2 linked regions of the Elephas maximus indicus genome follow. Each later gene encodes a partner of the first gene's protein in a complex. Links are inferred from orthologs where the notes say so. Each region holds a gene or a part of one and is shown on either strand. Other genes may lie near its edges.

Region 1 (7,163 bases):
ACTGTGCTCATGTGGAAACTGTATACAGACAAAGAGGCTGCCACCAGAACAGAACAAAGAAATACTGCATGGTCTAAAATCAAGAAAGGTGTGTGTCAGGGTTGTATCCTTTCACCATACTTATTTAATCTGTATGCCGAGCAAAAAATGTGAGAAACTGGACTATAGGTAGAATGTGGCATCAGGATTGGAGGAAGGCTCATTAACAACCTGCAATATGCAGGCATTCTCAAATATCAAAGAATGGGTGAAATGAATAAAAAAAAAAAAAGTAAAAATAAAACAAACAAAAACTACTCAACAATAAAACCTGCCAGTCAGGGACTCTATCAAAATAAATAAATCAGGAATGGACGTAGCATGGTGAAAAACATGGTGGTGAGCAGTGAAATATATTTAAATATAAATATTAAAAAAGAAAGGTGTTTTTGGTTTCAGAACACAACACAAATGTTTATAAATGCCAACAAATGAATATGTACATATGTAATTGTTAGTAACTTTGAGAAATTAAAAAAATAAACATAAGGAACACACGTCAGAACATGTGAATATAAAAATATTTGTCACTTCATTTTTCATAAAAAAGAGCCAATGAATACTCTTTAAGCAGGAATAGGTTTTTTAAAGGACAATGCTTAGCCAAGCAATGGTCTCATGATGTTTTTTTTTCTTAACCATCAAAAGATCTTAAGGATAATAATATTTCATACGGTGAAGAAACATTTTTTTAATGTTTTCAGCTCCTTTGTTGTCATTTCAGTTTCTTTCTCCTTTATTAAATTCAAGTAAAATAAGTTCTAAAATAATCTGTTAAATTGAAAAAACTTATGTATACCATGATTCTTTCCTTTCCATCCATCCATCCACCCATCCACCCATCCATCCATCCACCCATCCATCCATCCATCCATCCATCCATCCATCCATCCATCCATCCATCCATCCATCCATCCATCCATCCATCCATCCATCCATCCATCCATCCATCCATCCATCCATCCATCCATCCATCCATCCATCCATCCATCCATCCATCCATCCATCCATCCATCCATCCATCTGTGTATTTGCAAAAAAGACCTATCTGAAATAACATTCATTAAAGTCACTACTCGTCGTTTTGTTATGGTAAGAATTAGGGAAATTTCTTAACATACTTTTGTAGATTGCTTGAGAGATTTTATAGAGGGCATAAATCATTTAAATAAAAGTGATAAAATTACTACACTTTAAAAAAAAAAAAAAAGGGAGCCTCCTGGAGCACAACGGGGGGAAAAGAAGAGTGTGCTAGTAGAGTCTTCCTTTTTGTTATAAACTCTCTGAATGGTTTAAGTTTCTTAAGTATGAGTATTCAACATGTTTATATGAAATTTTTCATTACAAAATTAAAAGAAAAGAGAGTGTACAAAGAAAAATTTAGGAAGTCAATATTGCTGTTGTTGTTGTTAGGTGCAGTAGAGTCGGTTCTGACTCACAGCGACCCCATGCACAACATAACGAAACACTGCCCAGTCCTGACAATCCTCACACCGGTTGCTGCATTTGAACCCACTGTTGCAGCCACCGTGTCAGTCCGTCTCATCGAGGGTCCTCCTCTTTTTCACTGACCCTCTACTTTACCAAGCATGATGTCCTTCTCCTGGTACTAGTCCCTCCTGATAACATGTCCACAGTACGTGAGACAAAATCTCACCATTCTCACTTCTAAGGAGCATTCTTCTTGTTCTTCTTCCAAGACAGATTTGTTCATTCTTCCGGCAGTCCACTGGAATATTCATATTCTTCACCATAATTCAAGTCATCAATTCTCCTTTGGTCTTCTTTATTCATTGTTCCGTTTTCGCATGCACATGAGGCGACTGAAAATACTTTGGCTTGGGTCAGGCGCATCTTAGTCCTTAAAGTGACAACTTCGCTTTTTAATACTTGAAAGAGGTCTTTTGCGGCAGATTTGCCCAATGCAATGCATCTTTTGATTTCTTGACTTTTGCTTCCATGGGCACTGATTGTGGATTCAAGTAAAATGAAATCCTTGAGAGCTTCAATCTTTTCTCCGTTTATCACAGTATTGCTTATTGGTCCAGTTGTGAGGATTTTTGTTCGTGTTGAGGTGTAATGAGGTGGTCTTTGATCTTCATCAGTAAGTGCTTCAAATCCATTTCACTTTCAGCAAGCAAGGTTGTATCATCTGCATAACGCCAGTTGTTAATAAGGCTTCCTCCAATCCTGATGCTCCATTCTTCCACAAATAGTGCAGCTTCTCGGATTATTTGCTCAGCATACAGATTAAATAAGCATGGTAAAAGGATACAACCCTGACACACACCCTTCCTGATTTTAAACCATGCAGTATTCCCTTGTTCTGTTCCAGTGACTGTTCTTGGTCTATGCACAGGTTCCTCTTGAGCACAGTTCAATGTTCTGGAATTCCCATCCTTTGCAATGTTATCCATAATTCATTATGATTCACATAGTCAAATACCTTTGCATAGTCAATAAAATACAGGTAAACATCTTTCTGGTATTACCTGCTTTCAGCCAAGATCCATCTGATATCAGCAATGATATCCCTAGTTTCACATCCTCTTCTCAATCTGGCTTGAATTTCTGGTAGTCCCCTGCTGCTGTACTGCTACAACTGTTCTTGAGCTATCTTCAGCAAAATTTTACCTGCATATGATATTAATGATATTGTTCTATAATTTCCACATTCCGTTGGACCACCTCTCCTCAGAATGGGCACAGATATGGATCTCTTCCAGTTGGTTGGCCAGGTAGCTGTCTAACAAATTTCTTGGCGTAGATAAGTGAGGACTTCCAGCATTACATCCATTTGTTGAAATATTTCAGTTGGTGTTCTGTCAATTCCTGGAGCCTTGCTTTTTTTGCCAATACCCTTAGTGCAGCTTGGACTTCTTCCTTCAGTACCATCAGTTCTTGGTCATATGCTGCCTCCAGAAATAAATGTCAACCAATTCTTTTTGGTACAGTTACTCTGCATATTCCTTCCATCTTCTTTTGATACTTCCTATGTCATTCAATTTTTTGGCCATAGAATCCTTCAATAAGCAAATATTACATTCAGAATATTATTCAAATAATAGAATATACTTCAAACATAAATTTTGTTCCTTAGAGGGTAACCGATTTTCAAAAAACACCAATTTATTATCTGTAATAGTACAGTTCCAGTGACACTGGTTTTTATACACACTAGTTCATACAGAGGTTGGCTATGACGAGAATTTCTATAAAATGCTACATGAAGTAAGATACATGTGGAGATACTCAAACAGCTTAATTTATAAAGTACGATTTTTAAAAATAAAGCAGAACGTGCCAATCAGCATTCCACATTCACTTCTTTTAGCATCCATGAACCTCCCATGTGTCAGGCATGTTCTAGGTGCTGGGTTCCCAGCAGAAAATAAGAAGGACTGGGGCCCATGCCACAGCTGGGGCCGTGGGAATAGCTGGCCCTGGGAAACAATAACAGCATTACCACGCCACAACAATTGAAAATGATTCCAGTGATAAAATACATCTCCCCTCCAGGGCCAACGGCTCCCACCATCCATGGAAACATTCTCCTGGGGAAAGCATATATTAAGCAAATAAACAAGGGCCGGGGTTCATATGGCTGTACGAAGAACAATGTTGTAAAGAAACGACGACTTACGTATTTTAAAAAACAAGTTAGTGTTAAATATGGGCAATAGGTTAACAGAATCTATTCCCTTCTGCAAAAGAACCTGACTTCTGGTTAGCTCTCCAGCCTTGTTCCCCAGGTAACCTGATAAGGCAGCCTGTCAATTATATAGTTAAGCAGCATTGCTTATGGTAATAGTAACACTGCCCATTCCTGTGCCATCCCGCACCATTTCCATGATCAGTTGTGGATCAGGCCCTTGTCACCACAGAGTTTTCACTGGCTGATTTTTGGAAGCAGATTGCCATGCCTTTCTTTCCAGTCTGGCAGAACTATAAATACTTAATAAAAAGCCAGAGCTTTGAGCCTGTTTCTTGTAAGGACTCTAGAAACTATGTCTACAGTGTTGTTTAGAGAGAAATGGCTCCTGGGGCAGGCTTCCATGTGGACCTTGCCTCCTTGGCCCTGAGAGGTGTGGACTGCAGCGAAGACTCCCTCTGCAGGAAGATACCTGATGCTGCCCTGCTGGGAAGCTGGGGTTCCTGTGCCCAGTATGGCCTGTGATCATCCTGTGGGTCTGAACATTATCAGCCCTGTGGACATCCTGGTGGTGTGCATTACATCGTTGCCAGCTGAAAGTAAAACCTGCCATAAAATCAGTCCCTGGTTAAGAGGAACATTTTTTTTTTTTTTTAATGGCTATGAAAAAGTATTCTTTCACAAGAAAGACACTTTTGTGATAATCAGAAGGTTCTTATTTTGAGAACTCACTGGGCTTGCTACCAAATTTAAACAGAAATGTCACGTTGATCAGACAGCTTTTAATCCCGATGGCTGTAACTTGTCTGGCCTCACAACATGCTCACTAATGTACTCCTGGCACCCAGAAGGGTCTCCAGAATGGTGGTAGGCACACAGGAACCAGCTACCACTTGCCATCAACTCCTGTGTCGACTCTACCTCATGCTAAGTCCATGTGTGTCAAAGTAGAACTGTGCTCCATAGCGTTTTCATTGGCTGATTTTTCAAAAGTAGATGGCCAGGTCTTTCTTCTGAGGTACCTCTGGGTGGACTCCCACCTCCACAACCTTTTGGTTAGCAGTCAGGTGTGTTAACCATTTGTACTACCTGGGGACTCCAGGCACATAAAATGAGCTCAATAAAAATCTGCCCATTTACAAAGGATATGAACAGGCACTTCACCAAAGAAGACATTCAGGCAGCATTTTATGTGGAAATGCTCATGATCATTAGCCATTACAGAAATGCAAATTCAAACTACAATGATATACCATCTCACCCCAACAAGGCTGGCATTAATCCAAAAAACATAAATGTTGAAGAGGTTGTGGAAGGCTGAAACACTTATACACTGCTGGTGGGAATATAAAATGGTACAACCACTTTGGAAATCGATTTGGCACTTCCTTAGAAAGCTAGATAAAGAAGTACCATATGACCCAGCAATTCTATTTCTTAGAATACATCCTAGAGAAATAAGAGCCTTCACTTAACAGATATAGGCACGCCCATGTTCATTGCAGCACTGTTTACAATAGCAAAAAGATGGAAACAACCAAGATGCCCACCAACGGATGAATGGATCAACAAATTATGGTATATTCACACAATGGAATACTATGCAATGATAAAGAACAACGATGAATCCATGAAACATCTTATAAATGGAAGAATCTGGAAGGTATTATGCTGATAGAAATTAGTCAGTTGCAAAAGGACAAATATTGTATGAGACCACTATTATAAGAACTTAAGAAAAGGTTTAAACACAGAAGAAAACATTCTTTGATGGTTACAAGGGTGGGGAGGGAGGGAGAGGAATATTCACTAATTAGATAGTAGATAAAAACTATTTTAAGTGAAGGGAAGGACAACACATAATACAGGGGAAGTCAGCAGAGCTGGATTAAACCAAAAGCTAAGAAGTTTCCTGAAAACAACCAAATACTTCGAGGGACAGAGTAGCAGGGGTGGGGGTCTGGGAACCATGGTTTCAGGAGACATCTAGGTCAGTAGGCACAACAAAGTGTATTATGAAAATGTTCTGCATCCCACTTTGGTGAGTGGCATCTGAGGTCTTAAAAACTAGCAAGTGGCCATATAAGATGCATCAACTGGTTTCAACCCACCTGCAGCAAAGGAGAATGAAGAACACCAAGGACACAATGAAAATATGGGCCCAAGAGACAGAAAGGGCCACATAAACCAGAGACTCCATCAGCCTGAGACCAGAAGAACTAGGTGGTGCCCAGCTACCACCAATGACTGACCTGACAGGGAACACAACGGAGAATCCCTGATGGACCAGGAGAAAAGTGTGTTGTAGACCTCAAATTCTAGTAAAAAGACCAGACTTAATGGTCTGACTGAGACTGGAGGGACCCCAGAGGTCATGGCCCCCGGACTCTCTGTTAGCCCAAAGCTAAAACCATTCCCGAAGCCAACTCTTCAGACAAAGATTAGACTGCACTATAAGACGCAAATTGATACTGGTGAGGAGTGTGCTTCTAAGCTCAAGTAGACTCATGAGACTGTGGGCAGTTCCTGTCCATGGGTGAGATGAGAAGGCAGAGGGGGACAGGAGCTGGTTGAATGGACATGGGAAATACAGAGTGGAGAGGAGGAGTGTGCTGTCACATTACAGTGACAGCAGCTAGGGTTACATAACAATGTGTATAAGTTTTTGTATGAGAAACTGACTTGAACTGCAAACTTTCACTTAAAGCACAATAAAAAAAAAAAGATCATGGAATATAAAGCAAGTGTGACAGAATATTAAGATCTGATAAAATTGGGTGATTGACTAAAAAAAAAAAAAAAGACCAGACTTAATGGTCTGACTGAGACTGCAGGGACCCCAGAGGGAATGGCACCTGGACTCTCTGTTACCTCAAAGCTAAAACCATTCCTGAAGCCAACTCTTCAGACAAAGAATAGACTGGACTATAAGACATAAAATGATACTGGTGAGGAGTGAGATTCTCGGCTCATGTAGACACATGAGACTATGTAGGCAGCTCCTATCTGGAGGCGAGATGAGAAAGCAGATGGGGGCAAGAGCTGGTTGAAGAGACATGGGAAATAGAGGGTAGAGAGTGTGCTGTCACGTTATAGGGAGAGCAACTAGGGTCACATAACAATGTGTGTATAAGTTTTTGTATGAGAAACTGACTTGAATTTAAACTTTCACTTAAAGCACGATTAAAAGAAAAAAGCTACCCATTTAATGAGTTAATATAAAACACAAGGCTAAGAGAGTTTCACCATATTATAAAATAGTTCATTGGATTCAAAATCATGTCTCTTACAAAGACAGTCAAATGTAATTTGATTTTAAAAATTATTTCCCTGCTTTGTAAATAAGAGAAACAAAATATATTATCTGACACAAGAATTCTAATTGACTCTTGACAATTGACTGGCACAGTGACTGCAACAATGGGCTCAAGCATAACAACCATCGTGATGATGGTGCAGGACCGGGCAGTGT
Region 2 (7,184 bases), on another chromosome or scaffold:
AGAATGATTTCATACTGCCAAACACCTCACAAAATTTGTTTTCTTGGTTTGGAGGTTTAGGGTCATGGTTTCATGAGATGTTCCACTCCTTTAGCCTAATAACGATTTTAGTGCTTCTGTTCTACCTGTCGTATAGTTCCTGGGGTCTTAAAAGCTTGCCAGTAGCCATCCAAAGTACAACAATTGGTCTCTATTCACCTGGAACACCAGAAGAAGCAGGAGGGTCAGGATTCTGAGGAGGAACTGGAATGCAGGCCTAACTGCCTCCATGAACTACTGCCTCCTTTGCCATGAGACTAGAAGAACTGGATGGTGCCCAGCTACCATTTCTGGGCATTTTGTTCAAAGATTCTATAGAAGAATTCTGATCAAAAGGGGAAAAAAAATGTGGCACAGAATTTAAAAGTCTAATGGAATCCAGAATTTCTAGAGCCATTGAAGCTGGGTGACTCCATGAAACTGTTGCCCTGAGGAAATCTTTAAACCTTAAACCTCAAACCTCAAGCCAGAATTAGTTCCTTAAGTCTTCTTTAAACCAAACGATAGTTTAGCGTAATTAGAAGAGAATGTCTGTTTGAGCATTGTGTTCTTTTAAAGAATTATTTATATGTGATCAACTTGTTAACAGCAACTCAAAAGGTTAGATGAGAAGCTTAGGGGGTGGTGAGTTTGTATTAACGATGGTAAAACATATGGAAAAAGATATCAAGGAAGGTGGCACAATTTGAAGAATATAACCAATATCACCGAATTGTACATATAGGAATTGTTGAATTGGTGTATGTTTTGTTTTGCATATTTTCACCAAAAAAATAGAGGAAGAAATAGTGGCCATGTCTGGGATACCTTTAAACCTCTCAGAGACAAGGAGCCATGTTTAATTCAACCTGTTACCACTGGTGGTCATTTAGTCCAACACCCAATGAATATTTAGTGAGCGCCTACTCTGCGCTGGGAGCCCTGGTGGCACGGTGGTTAAGAGCTTGGCCGCTAACCAAAAGCTCAGCATTGGAATCCACCAGTTGATCCTTGGAAGCCTGATGGGCAGTTGTAGTCTGTCCTACAGGGTTGCTATGAGTCGGAACTGACTCGACAGCACCGGGTGTCAGTACTGTGTGCTGAGAATACAACAGTGAACAAGGCAGAAAGGTACCTGTTCTCATGGAGTTTCCATTCCAGAGGAAGTGGCGAATGGTAAAAACAGGAACCCATCAGTCAGAATTTCAGGTATGACAAATACCAGAAAGAAAAATTAAACTGGGGGTGGGAGGTGACTTCAGTTGTGGTGGTCAGGGCAAGCCTCTGTGAGAGAGTGACATTTGAGTTCATGAGAAAAGACCAGTTATACAAAGATTTTGGGAAAAACCGCATAGGCAGGAACAACAGCAAGTACGGAGGCCCTGAGGTGTGAATACCAAGAAGAAAAAACAAACCTGTTGCCGTGGAGTCGATGCCAACTCACAGCAACCCTATAGGACAGAGTAGAACTGCCCCATAGGGTTTCCAGGGAGCAGCTGGTGGATTCCAACTGCCAGCCTTTTGGTTAGCAGCCGAGGCCCCTAACCACTGCACCACCAGGGGCTCCGTGAGGTGTGGATAAGCTTGGCTCATTCAAGAAACAGCAAGCAGGCTGGAGTAGCTGGAATAGAGTGTGTGAGGGGAGAGAGGTGGGAGGGGAGGGCAGGGAGATGGTTGGGGGAAGGATCTTGTGGGCCTCACCCGTCTTTATGGAATCACAGGTTTTTATTTTTCTTGGTTAAATACCTAATAGTGGAATTGCTCCATCGCTGGATAGGCGAATGTTTAACTATCTAAGAAACCGCCGATCTGTGTTCCAAAGTGCTTGCGCTCCCTTATTCCTGTCGTTCCGGAGCCTCGCTGACACTCGATGGGGTCAGTCCTTTTCTTGTTAGTCATCCTGGTGGGCGTGTAGTGTACTTCACTGCGGTTACACTTTGCATTTCCTTAATGACTAATGCCGCCGAGTGCTCCTCTCATGCTTATCGGCCATTTGTATCTATCTCTTATGACACGTCTGTTCAAGTCTTTCGGTGGTTTAAAAAATTACTTTTAAAAAGCTCCTTCAGGCCATCGAGGGGTGAAAGTGGAAGCAGGGAGAGAGGGAGGGGCTGTGACTTCCACAGAGACCAGCACCCTACAGGCTCAACACAGCCTAGTTTCTGGGAAAGTCGGCTTTGGCCTTCCCCAGCCGCTTGACTCTTGGGCTGCTGCCAGGAGAGGCTGAGATACTTTAAAGATCTTGCCTGGGGGCCCTCAGCCCTGTTTCCTGGGGCCAGGCAGGCACTATGGGGGTGGGGTGGGAGGAGCAGCACCCAGTCAGCCAGGTGACCTCCACAGCTGCCTCTGCTCTCACCAGTACAGGGGCCTTACCCGTCCCTGGAGCAGAGACCAGCCGGGTCTGCATTCCACTCCCTGCACCAGCCTGTCACCTCATCAGGGCCCCTGCCCGGGAGCAGTCTAGCCAACAAAACCTACTCCACGTCAGAAAGAGTGAGAAAGTTTGTTCAGGAGATGTTTGCATCACCGGGGACCCGGCAGCAACACAGGCTGTCTCTATGGAGTCCCAAAGAGCAGTTTTACGTCAGAGCTTATATAGAGTCTTACAAAGCTTCCAAGTGTTTTTGTATGCAGATGGCCTGGCCAGAGGAGTTATTCATCACAAGATAGATAGTGACAAAAGACTCTTTATCAGAGTAAAGACACACAAGCCCTCTTTATCAGGCTAAAGACAGACATATCAAACACCTGGGTCGAAAGTCACAGGTGGTCGGACAGAACAAAACAAAGTTATTTGCATCAGATTAAAACAAAGAACAAAATCATTAGCATTAGGTCAAAACAAAGTCCTTAATGAAGGTATGCGAAGGAGGAGGCAAGCAGAGGACAAAGAAAAACTTATAGGTTCATCATGGCGTTAGTTATGTCAAGCTCTCAGTCGCTCGTTTTGAAAAAGGAGAAACCATGCTGGGGAGTATTAGGGTCACAAGCGTAGTTGTACCGCTTATTAAAATACTGAAGTCCTTCACTTCTGGTTGGTAAAGAACCTCTTCCCCACAGGGCGCAAATGCCCCTGGCACCCCAGCCTGTTCCCTAGGGCCCCTTGGACTTCCCCACATTTGGGGTTTGATCAAATGTCGTCTGGGGACAGCCCAGACCTGGCCAGAGTTGGGAGGAGCAGATAAGTGGCTGACACTGATGGGTTGAGGGAGAATTTTGGTCAAGGTGAGCCCAGAACTGAAGATTTAAAATAATACCCAACAGTGACCATGGAAAGAAACCCTGGTGGCACAGTGGTTAAGAGCTCCACTGCTAACCAAAAGGTCGGCAGTTCGAATCCCCCAGGTGCTCCCCGGAAACTCTATGGGGCAGTTCTACTCTGTCCTATAGGGTCGCTAAGTGTTGGCATGGACTCGATGGCACTGGGTTTGGTTTTTTTTTGGTTGGACAGTGACGCTAATAATGGTGATTTCCGTTTACTGCACACAAACAGTACGCTGGCACTGCTCTAACATTTTATGTGAAACCTCACCAAACCTTCATAGTAACCTGGACCATCACAGCAGCCTGGTCTCCTCGCTCCTGTCCCTGCCCGCAGAGCTCTTCCCCACACGGAGCCGTGGGAGCCTGTGACCACCTGAGTCACATCACAGCCCTCCTGGCTCAGGGCTCCCCAAGCCTCTGCTCTCCCCTGTGCTCACTCCAGCCACGAGGAGGGTCACGGTGGGCCCTAAGGTGGGCTCTACGCTCACCTTACAGGAGGGATTTAGGTTCTTTAGTGACAGGACTTGGCCAGGCTGGGGCAGTGGCGGTGGCCATTAGCAGCCAGCGATGCCTCAGCCTGAGCCCTGACCCTCCTCCAGACCACAAACCCTGCCCCTGCTGGCCACCCAGCGTCTGCCCACGCCAGCATCCAGTTTCCCCTTTTCTGTCCAGAGCCTTGGCCCAGGGAACTGTGGGATGTGGCAATAGGACGGGGGAGGGGGCTTCCTGCAGCTGGCCCATCCCCCCAGCACCCTAACCTCAGGTTCCTTCTTCCTGGGCTTCAGCTGGGGCTAGATGTTCCCGCTTCCTCCCGGGTGACCTGTCTCAGTCCTCTTCCCAGCCACTTCTTTGTTCGGTGGGACGGCCCAGCTTGGCACAGTGGTCACTACGTTGTCCCGCCACGTGGCTCCCCCCAGGCTCATGTGTCTGTGCGGTGCGTATCTGTGTCACCGTCTACGCTGCTCCCTCTTTCTCTGCCTGGTCATTGTTTTCTCCTTCCCATCTTTCTTCCTGCTTGTTTGCTTTTGGTTTCTGCGGAAGAACCAAAAAACTGCCTTTGGGGACTGGGTTGATTTCCACCTTATTTGCTGTGTGACCTTGGGCAAGTGTCTTTACACCTCTGGAGTGATAAATATTTACCTCAGAAGTGTGTTACAGGCATTAAATGAGTTAGCACTTAAGACAGAGCCTTAAATCATTCTGTCCCACATCCTGATAGCTGTATTTTGTTTTTCCTCAATTTTATTTATTTTGTTGCTGTTGTTGAGAATATACACCGATGACTGTATTTTAATATCCTAAGAACATCGTAAGGTTCTGAATATCAAATAATAATAATTATACCCTTTACCATCAAGTCAATTCCAACTCATAGTGACCCTATAGGTCAGGGTAGAACTGCCCTATAGGGTTTCCAAGGAGTGGCTGGTGGATTTGAATAGCCGACCCTTTGGTTAGCAGCTGAGTTCTTAACCACTGTGCCACCAGGGCTCCCAATTATAATTACAGCCAACACGTGTGAAAGGAAAGCTGACAAGTGTCAGACCCTGTTCTAGGGACATTAATCGATTTAGTCCTTACAACAACCCTATGAAGCAGATACTATTTCATTCACTATTTCACAGACGAGGAAAACCAAGACCCAGAGAGACGGAGTGACTTGCTCAGAATTGCCTAGTCAGGAAGAGGCAGAGGTGGCTTAGGTCAGTCAGCCAGTGACCCTCATGTTAGAATGAAGTCTGGCCCCGATGAGTGAGAGAGGTCAAGAGCTGATAATATGGTGCCCTTTGCCTGCAACGTCCATCCTTTGGGGATGTAGCGTCATCCCTGCGGCGTTTGGGCCTGATTCTTGCTGCTGTTCTCTCTCTGGCCCTCCTCCTATACCGTCCCCTCCTCCCTCCTGCCACCACCCGCCTCAGACTTCCTCCTTCACTTCGTAGGACGCTAAGCCACAGCCACTGGCCCTTAGACTGGTGTCCAGCGGCATCGCCTGCATCATGGTGGGCATCGGACCCTCTGGGAGACTCCTGCTTCTGCCTCTTCTGCTGGCTGTGGGTGGTGAGTCGGGGCCTTCTGCATCTGCCTCTGGGGTCTCAGGTTCAGCTGGGGGCAGGCCAGGGAGCAGGGTAGAAAGAGGAAACCAAAGGGGAAGGTTGGGACAGGAGCCGATCCCCAGGCCCCTAAAGCCTGTGAGTCTCTACCGGAGACTGAGACTCCAAGACTTGGCCTCCGGTGGAAGCAGTGGCAGGGGACATCCAAGGGTGTCACAACAGGACAAGTCAGAGTAGAGGTAACACAGTCCACCAGGTCCCACCAGAAACTGCTTTCTCCCCTTGCCTTCTGGTGTCAGGAAACACCCGCCCCAGCTTCTATCAACACTACCCCGTCACAGTCCCGTATGTCAGCTTACCTTTTTTTCCTTCCTCAGGTCTCAGTCCTGCCCAGGCCCAGAGTGGTAAGAATCCAGACCCTGGTTTCTCTCCCCAGCTCCCGCATCTCTGTCCCTTCCCCAGTCTCTCCAAACCTCCCTCTGCTGGCTACCTGCCCCCCACCCCCACGCCTGCCCAAACTCCTGGCCCCCACTGACTTCCCCTGACCCCTGTGCCACAGAGTGCAAGTGCGCTACAGTTGGCCCTGGTGTGCTGGCTGGAATCGTGCTGGGGGACCTGTTGTTGACACTCCTCATCGCCCTGGCTGTGTACTCTCTGGGCCGGCTGGTCCCTCAGAAACGAGGGGCTGCAGAAAGTGAGTGGGACTGGTGGGAGCTGGCCTGGGACAGTCTGAGGACGTGCCTGGGGGGCAGGTATTAAGTTCCCAGGTCACAACCCACCAAAGGGATGGTGCTGGAGGGGCGGATTTTGAAGCCACAAAGTGATTTCAGTTCAGCACCCTGTCCACCTCCTCCTCTTACGCCCCTTCTCTCAGCAGTGACCCGGAAACAGCGCGTTAATGAGACCGAGTCACCTTACCAGGTGAGTACACAGCTTCTCTTCCTCAAGTCTTAACTCCTGTCCTTAGGGTCCGGGTCCCAAACGCCCCCCTCCATCCCTTCCAGGCCTCAGACTCTCAAACTGCTCCCCCCAATAACTCCCCAAACCCTTGAAGGCAAATAAAAACATGGGGCATTTGTCCAAAACCTGTTTTAACAATGACCTTAGCTTCAGGTTAAAACGTGTGTGGAGGACACTGAGGGGTGAATTTACCTTTGCAAGGCAAGTTGTGCCTTACTCAGAAGGCAGGCTCAGGATTATTTGGGAGAAGGCATTTCGCAGGTGGCCATGGACCAGCAGCAAAGCTTAGGCCCTAGCTGGGCAGATAGACTTGGAGTAAATAAACAAGATAATTTTGGGAGGCATCATAAAGGAAATAAAGCAGGCTGATGTGGTAGTAGCTGGGGTGTCGGGGGAGGAAACTATAGGTGGGGAAATCAAGCAGTGCCTCCATAAGGAGGTGACATTGAGCCACCCATGAGAAGATCTAGGGGATTGGTGTTCCAAGCAGAGAGAAGGGCCCCTCGCAAACGCCCTGAAGCTGGGGCATAACCACGAGGCAGAAGGGGAAGGGGCACACTGAATGCGCTTTAATACAATCCAGACCGCTGCTGTGGGTTTCAAGGTTGAAGAAGCTGGCAGGTGCCTCACAGGCCACTAGGAGAGGCTGGAGTTTGTTCTAAGTTTATTTGGTGGACCCCTTGCACTGATGGTCCCCAACCTGTTCACCCACTGCCCTCATTCCTTTAGGAGCTCCAGGGTCAAAGGTCGGATTTATACAGTGATCTCAACACACAGAAGCCGTATTACAAATGAGCCTGAACCACGGCAGCCATCTGCCTGACGCCTGGATCTAGTCATTCCTGATACCCACCCAGCACCCCATTCCTACCCCCACCGAGACACCGATCC

The links. The genes of interacting proteins can lie anywhere in the genome.
Region 2: the proteins of SYK (region 1) and TYROBP are in contact, whole or in part, in a crystal structure (PDB 7Q5W), measured with the Homo sapiens proteins. The link is inferred for Elephas maximus indicus from reciprocal best matches to the Homo sapiens genes SYK and TYROBP. Residues at the interface, in NP_001167638.1 of Homo sapiens: Arg22, Arg42, Asn46, His62, His63, Tyr64, Thr65, Ile76, Ala77, Gly78, Gly79, His92, Asp97, Gly98, Leu99, Arg175, Arg195, Arg197, Lys212, Leu214, His215, Tyr216, Arg217, Ile228, Pro229, Glu230, Gly231, Lys232, His243, Lys247; in NP_003323.1 of Homo sapiens: Pro90, Tyr91, Gln92, Glu93, Leu94, Gln95, Arg98, Ser99, Asp100, Val101, Tyr102, Ser103, Asp104, Leu105, Asn106.

Annotation. Positions count from the first base shown.
Region 1 is NC_064827.1:118,741,082-118,748,244, forward strand, and holds the start of SYK (tyrosine-protein kinase SYK), read right to left. Parts: upstream 3,048-7,163; 5' UTR 1,754-3,047; coding exon 1,697-1,753; intron 1-1,696. UniProt on the Homo sapiens protein: Non-receptor tyrosine kinase which mediates signal transduction downstream of a variety of transmembrane receptors including classical immunoreceptors like the B-cell receptor (BCR).
Region 2 is NC_064829.1:115,010,595-115,017,778, reverse strand, and holds the start of TYROBP (TYRO protein tyrosine kinase-binding protein), read left to right. Parts: upstream 1-4,082; 5' UTR 4,083-4,216; intron 4,217-5,222; 5' UTR 5,223-5,279; coding exon 5,280-5,340; intron 5,341-5,710; coding exon 5,711-5,737; intron 5,738-5,892; coding exon 5,893-6,027; intron 6,028-6,207; coding exon 6,208-6,254; intron 6,255-7,022; coding exon 7,023-7,088; 3' UTR 7,089-7,184. UniProt on the Homo sapiens protein: Adapter protein which non-covalently associates with activating receptors found on the surface of a variety of immune cells to mediate signaling and cell activation following ligand binding by the receptors.